Drosophila melanogaster: one gene and its partners. The protein of the gene in region 3 interacts with the protein of the main gene of each other region in a pairwise test. Each region holds a gene or a part of one and is shown on either strand. Other genes may lie near its edges.

Region 1 (3,356 bases), on a different chromosome or scaffold from region 3:
CTTTCCAGAATGCTGCGAATCGGAGGAGCAGGTCCAGGATATGGGCCAGCTGTACCAGATCTTTCCGGACGAGGTGCTCGGTTCCGGGCAGTTTGGTGTGGTCTACGGCGGCGTGCACAAGAAGACGCAACGCGAGGTGGCCATCAAGGTGATCGACAAATTGCGCTTTCCCACCAAACAGGAGGCGCAGCTGAAGAACGAGGTGGCCATCCTGCAGAACATCTCGCATTGCGGCGTCGTCAATCTGGAGCGAATGTTCGAGACTCCGGAGCGGATCTTTGTGGTGATGGAAAAGCTCAAGGGCGACATGCTGGAGATGATCCTGTCGCATGCGAGGGGCCGCCTGAGTGAACGGGTGACCAAGTTCCTGATCACCCAGATCCTGATTGCCCTCAAGTACCTGCATTCGCAAAACATAGTCCACTGCGATCTGAAGCCGGAGAACGTGCTGCTCTCCTCGGACGCCGAGTTTCCGCAGGTGAAGCTCTGCGACTTTGGCTACGCCCGGATCATCGGCGAGAAGTCCTTCCGGCGCTCGGTGGTTGGCACTCCGGCCTATCTGGCACCGGAGGTGCTCCGTAACAAGGGCTACAATCGATCTCTAGACATGTGGAGCGTGGGCGTCATCATATACGTGAGCCTGAGCGGCACATTCCCGTTCAACGAGGAGGAGGACATCAACGACCAGATCCAGAACGCGGCCTTCATGTATCCACCAAATCCCTGGAAGGAGATCTCCTCCAATGGTGAGTGTAGGGGCTAAGCACGAAATTCAAGTCCAGGCTCATCAATGAATCCCTTTTGGTTTTCCCCAGCCATCGACCTGATCAACAACCTGCTGCAGGTGAAGCAGCGCAAGCGGTACACGGTGGACAAGAGTCTGCTGCACTACTGGCTGCAGGACAAGCAGACGTACCGCGATCTCCGGAACCTGGAGGCCCAGGTGGGTGCCGGCCGGTATCTGACCCACGAGGCGGATGATCTGCGCTGGGACTGCGCGGGCGACATGTGACCTGGCTGTGAGCCCGAGGCGATTCTCGAGAGCACCACCGAGTTAATCAGCTGCAGCGCCAACACCACCACCGAAAGCTATCGTCGATCTCCGGCGGACTGCGCCGGATGCCATCGGCTGTCGGATTGCGGGAACTCACCCAAATCGGAGGCCATGAGCGACAGGGCGCTGAAATGGATGCGGTTCCACCTCTGCCGGCACATCAAATAGCAGTACAACCTTATTGCCTAGCCCATAAGTTTATCCTATCTCTCTAACTCGCTTCTCGATTGATATCCGCTAAACAAACGAACTCTTCTTACCACTTACCACTTACCACTTACCACTTACAACTTACAACTCTGTGTGCTAAATTTTTCTCTAGAATCAAAATTAGTCGATAGCTTTAATTTGTTAACCACCTAAAGGCAACTCTTATGAATAATACACAAATACTTAATATACTTATGTGAAAATAAAACCCAGACGTAACTGCGAAGCTCAGATCCAGTTTAGTACCAATGGCCATAAGTTACAGGAAGAACCCAAAAACCAAACGAATGGCAGAGAAATATAGCTGAATAAACAACGCTTGACAATTAAGAGACCCACTTCGCGCTTTTACTTACAGTCGCGGGCAAATAAATAGGTAGCATTGTCATATTTGGGGTTAATTTGAAAATATATAATTCATTTTGTTAGCTAATTTAATATTTAATTAATATTTAATATTAATTTATAAAGTATTGCTTAGTATTTTAATTGTAATATTTTCAAATTAGATCATGCTAATTTGTACTATTTTTTGTAGTTCGAAATGACTATATATGTATGTAGATATTTTTCACATATGTAGTAAACAAGTGTATCTTCATATTTTGAATATATTTTTCCACCCATGACTGTTTGTCACCGGTAATGGAAGTGTCTACAACTTAAGGTGCTCCAAAAGATCACTGGCCTGCAACGGTGGACCCCTTTCTCGCCGAAATTTCAATGCTTTCCAACATTTCTTGTTCAGCATTTCAGCAGTAAAGATGCATTTTATTGTGCCTCAGTGCTTCATAATGGCAATTCTTGCCGGGATTAGCCAGCAGGGCGATGACTTCAGCACGCCCAGTGTCGCCTGGTTGGAATATCAGCGGGAGAGATTCGGTATGAGCAGTAATCCTTTCTTGTTTGGGTCCACCAAGGCACCAACAGTCCCAAATGTAGAGGTGGTGACCCCGAAAGTGGAGACTACATCCAGGAAACATTCATCCAGCTCAACCGAAAACGCAAATCCGGAATCGGAGGAGGACGAGGAATCCACGGAGCCACCAAACGAAGATGAGGAAGTTGGGGTGCCCAGCGTTCAAGGATTCTTCAAGTTTCTAAAGGACATGCAGAAAACTTGGATCAAGAAATCGACTCTCACTTTCGGAAAGAAAATAAAGTTGCTTCAAAACCTACGAGATAATCTTATAAAATTGATAGGTTAGTTTTATAGGTTTTAAGATCTTATATGTTGCCTTATTATAATTAATCTTCTGATTTTGTAGAGCAACAGTTCTCGGTTCTTTGGCAGCCACCAGAGCGAAAAAGGAGACGTCGACGTGGAATTTTGGATGACTCGGAAATAGACTTTCCGCCTGAGGCGGCAATCATGAGCATCAACTTTTTGACATTCGCCGTTTTCCTCATTAAGCTCGTTATGGTATGTTGGAATTTATATTGAAATATTTATATGTATAATTAATTTTCTAATATTGCAGCAAGTGGTTAAAATTGTAAAAAGCAAACATGTTACCTTTTCTGGATTTACCTTTTCACCAGAAGCTGCAAGACGTCCATAAAGTATTACCACTGCTTAAGTTTGACACGTAGTTTAGATTTTAAATATATTCTTTTAAAATGAAAAACGAATTTTCGTGAAACAGAAAACTATTTTAGAATTTATAATAAGTAGTCTGCTGCTTAGAACAATGATATATTAATCTTTCTTATGTTTACCAGATCTAGATTTAAATTTTATGAGTTAGTTTAGTCAAAGGTTAGTAAATGTTTTAATATTAAATGCTGTCGAAACCAATTTTCAAAATTTGAACTATCGATTCTTATCGACTATTCGATTTTGGCTGGAATCGGCTTTCATATCACTCAGCTTTCGTCCATCGCATGTCATCTGTTTTGTTTTCCACACGTGCAACATTTGAATTGTTTCTAAAAGCCAGAAAAATTCAAATATAACGCAGTAACAATGGAAGATAAAATTATAATAGAATCCGTATGCGATCATAAAAGAGACGAGAACATACCTACCATACGTAAGTTAACAAGTGCAGCCATCAATTAGGAAGAAAATATACAATCTCACCTTCCATCC
Region 2 (3,332 bases), on a different chromosome or scaffold from region 3:
TATGTAATTGTAGTTAAATTACTGTAAATTTGAAAAAGCTAACTATAGTTAGCCGGCGAGCCCAAATGGGCTGAATTAATAGATAAGAAGGACACAAAGGGGATTCAAGACTTCCCCGTATGCCTTAATAAATAAATTAATAATAAAAACTTTCACAGCATTGTGGGCGGATTAAAACAAAAAAAAAATAAAATACTTCCAATGGTCGGGGGCGTATCATCACACCTCTTAAACAATGCCAGCGATTGTCTCGAGCAATTAAGGTGGTATCATAAATTATAAGAATGTCGTTTATTGAAGCTCAGCCACAATTCGACCCATAAAACTACAGCTTATTATGGCTGCTAAGTTCAATTACTCAAAGCTGGATTTTGTTTGGGTTGTCAATAAATCAAGCCGGAATTGGCCATAGAGCATTACTCAGTGTAGTTCCCAAAATAACCACAGCTGGATTGTCCATGAATGAAACTGTTCTGCCTCGGTCTGAAATATAATTTTAGCACTCCCGAGGCAATTATGCTGTCTATCGTGGCACTTGAGCCGAGTTCGTGGTCATGGCCTCTTTTACGATAGGATTTTCCCTTCTCAAGTTCAAGATCAGAACAGGATATACATATAACACGCTTGGGAAACTACGTTTTCGCAGTGCTAAGCTTTATTTCGTTTTTAGTGCAGGCTGAGCTAGGTAAACAATAAATAACTACAGGTAAATACACGTCACACTCAAAGACAACAAATAAAAAATGGCTGAGGATGATGGCTATTTAGAAGAGGAACGGCTGAGATGGCGCATCGTAGTGGTATCCATCATCATGGGACTCCACGATCTCCTGGGGTGGCAGATAGGTGTTTACGGGTTCCTCCAGAGGTGCGGCGTATGAAGGGATCGGGATCTTGAAGGCGGGCACTACAGCTGGTGCGACGTAACGGGGCTGCTCCACCACAGGTGCAGGTGGCAGATAAGCGGGCTTGGGTGGGTTGACCTTGACAGCCGGTGGTGGAGGTGGCACATAGGCAGGCTTGGGTGGGTTGACCTTAACAACCGGTGGTGGAGGAGGCAGGTAGGAGGGCTTGGGTGGGTTGACCTTCACAACTGGTGGCGGAGGAGGCAGATAGGCAGGCTTGGGTGGATTGACCTTGACAACTGGTGGCGGAGGAGGCAGATAGGCGGGCTTGGGTGGGTTGACCTTAATCACTGGTGGTGGAGGAGGCAGATAGGCGGGCTTGGGGGTCCTGACAACCGGGATCTCAGGTTTCACGGTCGCTGGTGGCAAATAAACTGGAGGAGGCACGGTCACAGGAGCCTCACGAACGGTCACTGGTTCTGGAGGCAGATAAGCCGGAGCCGGAGTGGGCAGTTCAAAGGGGATGCTTGGTGGGTCATAGTTGTAGCCAGGATGGTCATGGTGATCATGGTGGTCATGACCGAACAAATGCGAGACATCAGCGGCTACCAGAGCCAAGCTGCAAACAGCCAGCATAAGGACTTTCTGAAATATACAATAAAATCAATTTAACACGCTGAGCTATTATCCTTGGAGAGTAAACACAAACCATTTTTCTGTTGGAACGTTCTTGGTGCGACGACGGCCTCTACCGAAGTGATACAGTTTCCGGCAAGTGCTTCTTTATTTATACAGTTAGAGAACCTGAACCTGAATCAGTGGTCGCTATAAAGCGATCGCGTCACGTTATTACCTCTGGCCAACGCCGACGCCGCGAGAGACGATCTGACTGCGATCCGTCTATATCCAAATGGCCCGGTTGTCAGCTAAGCGGCGTTTAGGGGTCTCGCCCCTTTGGCAGCCGGTATTGGGAATTGGCATTCAATTTTTATTAAATCTCTTAATTCGAAGTCATCTCGTTGCGTTGGCTTTTGTTTTTTTTTGGCCCGACCAGGGAGCTCTTTATGGCTGGGAGCCATAAACGTGTTGGGTTTTACGATCACCGCTGCGTTTGCCAAGTACTTAAAATAGTTTTTGGTTAGGCAATTATTGGGATAAATAGTTTATCGTACTTTTGGAGTTGTTAGACTATTTATTTCGTATGCATTAGTCATCATGTACCTAAGAAATGTATAACATTATTGATACATCACTATCAGGTTTTAATTAAAATGCTTAAAGACAAAATGAAAGACAAATCAAGTGTGCTATTAAAGTAACCTAATGTTTAAACATTTAAACTTTAACCCTTTTCAAAAGAGCATACTCAATTCGTTAGGGGCTTAATTATTTATTTCTGTCTAATCTTTTCATGGCACCTTTAAAAGACTTGCCCCATCTCTGGGCAACATTGAAAGAGGTCAACTGTCGTCCCATTGCCGATGGCTGCAATTGGCGATTAGCGATTTTGGTTCGGTTTGAACCTTTCTGTAACCGACACCGATCAATCCCTATAAATATATTCAAACCAAAACTCACATCATTTTTCATCCAAAAAGACAGTAATTATCGACACTGCAGGTGATGATCGAGCTGAACTAAAGCTAAAACCGAAGCCGTTTGGCTATTTCGGTTGATTGGCCGCAATTAGATTTGGAGGTCAGATTGAAATCCACATGGATCCCTTGGGGGCTGGGTGACAGCAATTTGGGTTTGATATCTTTGACCTTGAGGATGGGGAAAGAGTGCGAGTGGTGTAATACTCCATTTTATTTTTTGTTAAAAATGCTTTTAATGTGTACAGCTTAAAACTAGATGCAGTGCTTGTGGTTTGGTTTTTTTTCGGTGGTTGATTATCCTAATGCCTGAAACGGCGAAGTGGAGGCTTGTAGTGGTAACCAGGCTCGGCGTCGTGGATTGGACTTGGTGCAGGGCCCAAGGGCAGTGCATAGGATGGAATCGGTATGTGGAAATCTACCTCAGGCTGGGGTGGCAGATATTTTTGTTCGGGCTTAGGAGGCAGATACTTCTCGACGGGCTCGGAAGGTGGCAGGTACTTAGTCTCCGGCTCGGCAGGAGGAAGATACAGCTTCTTGGGAGCCACTGGTGGGGGTGGAGGTGGTGGTGGCAGACTGGGTGCAACCTTGGGTGGCAGATACCTTGCCACTGGAGCAGGTGGCAGATACTTCACCTCGGGCGTCGGAGGAGGAAGGTACTTGGACTCTGGCGGACTGGGAGGCAGATATGTGGGCTTGGGCGCCACAACTGGAGGTGGTGGTGGAGGAGGCAGGCTGGGAGCGACCTTGGGTGGCAGATACTTGGCCACCGGTTCGGGGGGCAGGTACTTCACTTCAGGCTTTGAGGGAGGCAGATAAGTTGCCTTGGGCGGTGGAGGTGGTGGCGGTGGCAGGGAAACCTTGGGCGGCAGGTACTTCTGGCGAGGTTTCT
Region 3 (4,116 bases):
GGCGGCTGCTGGAGATTCGGAAATCCCTGGTTGTCTTGCCCGGCAATGTTGTAGTTCATCTGGTTCATTTGACCGCCACCATATCTATTTGGCGGCGGCTGTTGCATTGGCGGTGGTCCTGACCACATGCTTTGGATGTCATTCGGATGCTGATTGTAACCGCCTTTTTGTGGTGGCGGCGGCGGCTGGTTGTACATCTGCGGCTGGGCCATGATCTTACCGGGCAGTGGCGGTGCTCCCGCGACGGCTACGGGTGTAGTTGACTGCGCCGGCGAGGCGCTGACACCTTGGTAATAGTTATGTGCGACAGGATAGGCCTGTGGCCCGGGAGGAGCGACCACAGGGACGGGTGCTGCTGCAGGAGTCGCTACCACAGGCGCGGGCACGCCTTGAACTGCGGTAGTTGTGGCCGCGGCTGCGGCCATTTCACGCTTATACTAAAGATTTGGAAGACTACTATAGCAATATGATCGTCGATAACTAATTGATTTGACCCACCTGCTCACCGTACTGGGCATGCCACTTGGCGTACTCCTCCTGGTATGTCTGCCACTGTTGCCAGTGGTGCTGCAGTGCGTACTGCTGTTCGGGTGTCATGGCCGCGTACTGGGCGGCCGTATACTGTTGATAGGGGTTGCCAGCCCCCGTCGCCTGGCCGCTGCTATAGGGGTTGAATCCAGGGGCCGTTGTGACTGCGGCTGCAGTCGTGACTATGGGTGCAGAGGCACCGCTTGATGCTCCGGCTCCGGCGGTCGCGTCCGATGGAGGCGGAGGGGGCGGGGCGTCCGGCAACGGTGGCGGAACCGACGGTTGCGGAGGTAGAGCGGCAGTGGGAGCCACTGCGGCGGCGGTTTGCCATTGGCCCCACATACCGTGTCCACTGGATTGATTAGCCTATTAGCGAATAACACACTTGTACCGCTCGGTTGGGCTTTCACAAAATCCGGCGGATTGGCTCCGTTCCGTTTAAAATCGTCCACCTTTCACTAATTCAGTTTGCTATCTGAACGAATTGATAATGAAAACTTCGCCATATTTGGCTTGAAAACTAGAGATGGAACTGTCAGCTAAATGGGCCGGGCAGTGTGACCGTGCTGCGAGTGTGCATCCATATATCGCAAGCACCCTAGAATATTCCATTGCCAATTAATAAAATAATTTGAATGTAATCCAATGCACTTACAAGCCTACAAATTGAAAAATTAGCAAAGATAGCTTGCTTAAGTGATTGATTCGTAGAAGTTGTATTGATAATACGAAAATATGTTAAAAAAAAAATAAACAAGAAGATCAAACTGGCAGACCTTCTAATGAGCTTTTTGAAAATCTGCAGCAAATTAATAGATTTCTCAGACCAGGCATTTTACTACATTTTTTCATATCTGTAAATATGTTAATATAAGTTAAGTCAAGTGATATTTTGTTTAACTGATGTTTTTTGTAGTTTGTTAAGTAAATTTGGTAATTTTCCAACAGTCCGGCCGAAAGTCTAAGTAGTCAGGACCGATATCTCCCTGTGATAATAATATAATATCTCATAGAAATATATTTTAACATGAATTAATTTTAACAATTTTATTGAGAGCTAGCAATAAAATTTTAGGGAACGCATTCATTTAGCTTTGCCTAACTCTTAAAAATGTAAAATTTAATTAACTAATATTAAAATCACAAATTCATAAACACTTTTTGGTATTTTTAGCATACCCTAACGTAACGGTCACAGCTCACTACAGCCACACTAATCGCGACACGTGCAGAAATTGTTATTTTTTGCCGTCCTTTGTTTTTCATGTGAAAATTAGCACTGAAAATGGCCGAAACGAGCGAAAAGATCAAGTTCCTTGTGGCGGACACCACAGCCTTTATAAACGCCGTGCCCCTGAATGTAAGTCACGCACAATTTGCCCATTCGAGCCATCTAAAGCCGCCACTAATCCCCTACAGGAATACGCGGAGCAGGTGCTCACCGTGCCGGATGTGGTGGCCGAAGTGCGCAACAAGCGCCAGATTCGCCGCCTCTGCGTTCTGCCCTTCGACCTCCAGGTGCGCGAGCCTCGTCCGGAGAGCATTAAACACTGCGTGGAGTTCGCCAAGAAAACGGGTGACTACGCGAGTCTCTCGGGGATCGATCTGAAAGTGATCTCGCTCACCTACGAACTGGAAGCAGACAACGTGGGCACTGATCACCTGCGCCAGGAGCCTGTGATGGCGCAGACCATTGCGTCCAAGGATAAACCCGAGGAGATGCAGGATGCTAATAACAAGAGACTGGTCGGTTGGTACATGCCCGAGGGCGAAGAGGAGGAGGAGGAGGATTCCGAGGAGGAAGATGATTACTCCCAGGAAGAGGACGATGCTGAAGGCGATGAGCAGGAGGCAAATGAATCCCCAGACACTGTTAAAGCCGCCATCGAAGCCCAATTGGCCGGCAAGGAACCATTTGCCAGCGAGACCATCGAAAAGGAGGAGGACCAAGACCAGGAGCCCAGTCAGGAGGAGCTGGACAAGCTGTTCGAGCAGCTCAAATGCGCACCCAGTGCCGAGGAAGAGAAAGAGCTCTCGGAACTGCTCGTTTCCCAGCCGGCCGAAGTAGATGAGGAGGTATCCGAGCCACAAGAAGCCAAACAGAGCCAAAATCTCGACGAGGATGTGGGTGACGATGGCTGGATCACGCATTCAAACATCAAGAAGGCCAAGAAAGCGCTCGAGGGCAAAGTGGAAACGGATGAAGTGCCGCCCGTCGCCTGCATGACCACCGATTATGCGCTGCAGAACGTGCTCAAGCAGCTAAATCTCCACCTGGCCGCCCTCAATGGCCGGATCATCAAGCAGTTGCGCACATATATACTCCGCTGCTACGCGTGCTACAAGACCACCAGCATCATGACCAAGGTGTTTTGCCCCAATTGTGGCAACAAGACGCTGAAACGTGTGGCCGTCAGTCTGGACGAGAACGGTCGCCAGGTGATTCACATCAATACGCGCCGTCCGCTGACCAATAAGTACAAGAATCAGAGCCTGCCTCGCTTCCAGGGCGGCAAGCATTCGAGAAATCCGATCCTGTTCGAGGATCAGCCGATGCCCAGGCAGATGCCGTCGCGCGTTGCCAAGACCAAGACGAACGCTCTGGATCAGGACTACACGGCCGGATTCTCGCCCTTCGTGCTGCGCGACGTGGACTCCAAGTCCGCCATGCTGCGCTCCAAGGGCAACCTCAAGGAGTGGGCCAGGAATAACAACTTCGAGGAGGATCGCCGGCGCAAGAACTACAATCGCTTGTACAAGTAGATTACTCTGGGCAGTAAGGGGCTAGTTGTTCATTAGCTTTCCAATCGTAGACTTTATATAAATTTATATAATATATAAAATAAAACACAAGGGAGAACCTGAAACTTTGTAAAATGTAAACAGAGAAGCTTTTCAAGTAGTTACAAGCGTTATTTTTAAACGAAATAAATCTTTTTTTTTTGTATGTAAGGTATGGAGTTTTTCTTGGATTCTAATTCCAATATTTATTTACAAAGTTAAAAGCTAGAAAATCTTTTTTTTTGTTATGAACTAGCATTAAGTTTCATTTTTTTAACGTAATTAAATCTGTTTTTAATTGAACATTGTGTTTGCTGCTTCTGGAAATCAAAATAGTCGCTGTTTCAACAAAGAATTCATTTCAAATGATGGATGGAAACCAGACGTTGCGGCTCAAGACTCCATCGTTTATTGGGAAACCGCATAAATGCAGAAATCACAGCTTGACGCACAGCTCGTTGCCCGGATAAACGGGCAGATTCAGTTCGTATTTGCGCTGCAGGGCGGGCGGCACGAATCTGCCGCCCAAGTAGTGATGTTCGCCGCGAAATTGGCGGGCACAGAGTTTCGGCGCAGTGAGGGAAATGAGCAGAGCCGGCTCCACGTCGCATTCAGTCAGCTTGCCCTTCTCCACATCCCAGCCGCTGGGAATGTCCACGCTGCAAGGAGGAAGCAACATTAGCTTAGAATTAGCTAGTATAACGTAACGAATCTCACCTGGCAATTGGCAGTTTGGTCTGCTGCATTAGTTCCACGACGGCGACAAAGTCCGCTCGCACCGGCGGCTTGAAGCTGAATCCGAAGAGC

The links.
Region 1: the proteins of CG2972 (region 3) and CG7126 interact in a two-hybrid assay, tested with the Drosophila melanogaster proteins (one large-scale study listed by BioGRID).
Region 2: the proteins of CG2972 (region 3) and CG11345 interact in a two-hybrid assay, tested with the Drosophila melanogaster proteins (one large-scale study listed by BioGRID).

Annotation. Positions count from the first base shown.
Region 1 is NT_033777.3:18,301,522-18,304,877, reverse strand, and holds CG7126 (uncharacterized protein), read left to right. Parts: upstream 1-2,028; coding exon 2,029-2,467; intron 2,468-2,532; coding exon 2,533-2,687; intron 2,688-2,745; coding exon 2,746-2,826; downstream 2,827-3,356. Other genes in the region: PKD (protein kinase D), read left to right, coding at 9-746, 816-1,012; Polr1E (RNA polymerase I subunit E), read left to right, coding at 3,231-3,297.
Region 2 is NT_037436.4:4,456,556-4,459,887, forward strand, and holds CG11345 (uncharacterized protein), read right to left. Parts: upstream 1,609-3,332; 5' UTR 1,558-1,608; coding exon 1,555-1,557; intron 1,491-1,554; coding exon 765-1,490; 3' UTR 622-764; downstream 1-621. Other genes in the region: CG15022 (uncharacterized protein), read right to left, coding at 2,743-3,332.
Region 3 is NC_004354.4:10,081,435-10,085,550, forward strand, and holds CG2972 (uncharacterized protein), read left to right. Parts: upstream 1-1,719; 5' UTR 1,720-1,813; coding exon 1,814-1,888; intron 1,889-1,947; coding exon 1,948-3,291; 3' UTR 3,292-3,616; downstream 3,617-4,116. Other genes in the region: ZAP3, read right to left, coding at 1-437, 499-870; Naxe (NAD(P)HX epimerase), read right to left, coding at 3,746-3,968, 4,027-4,116.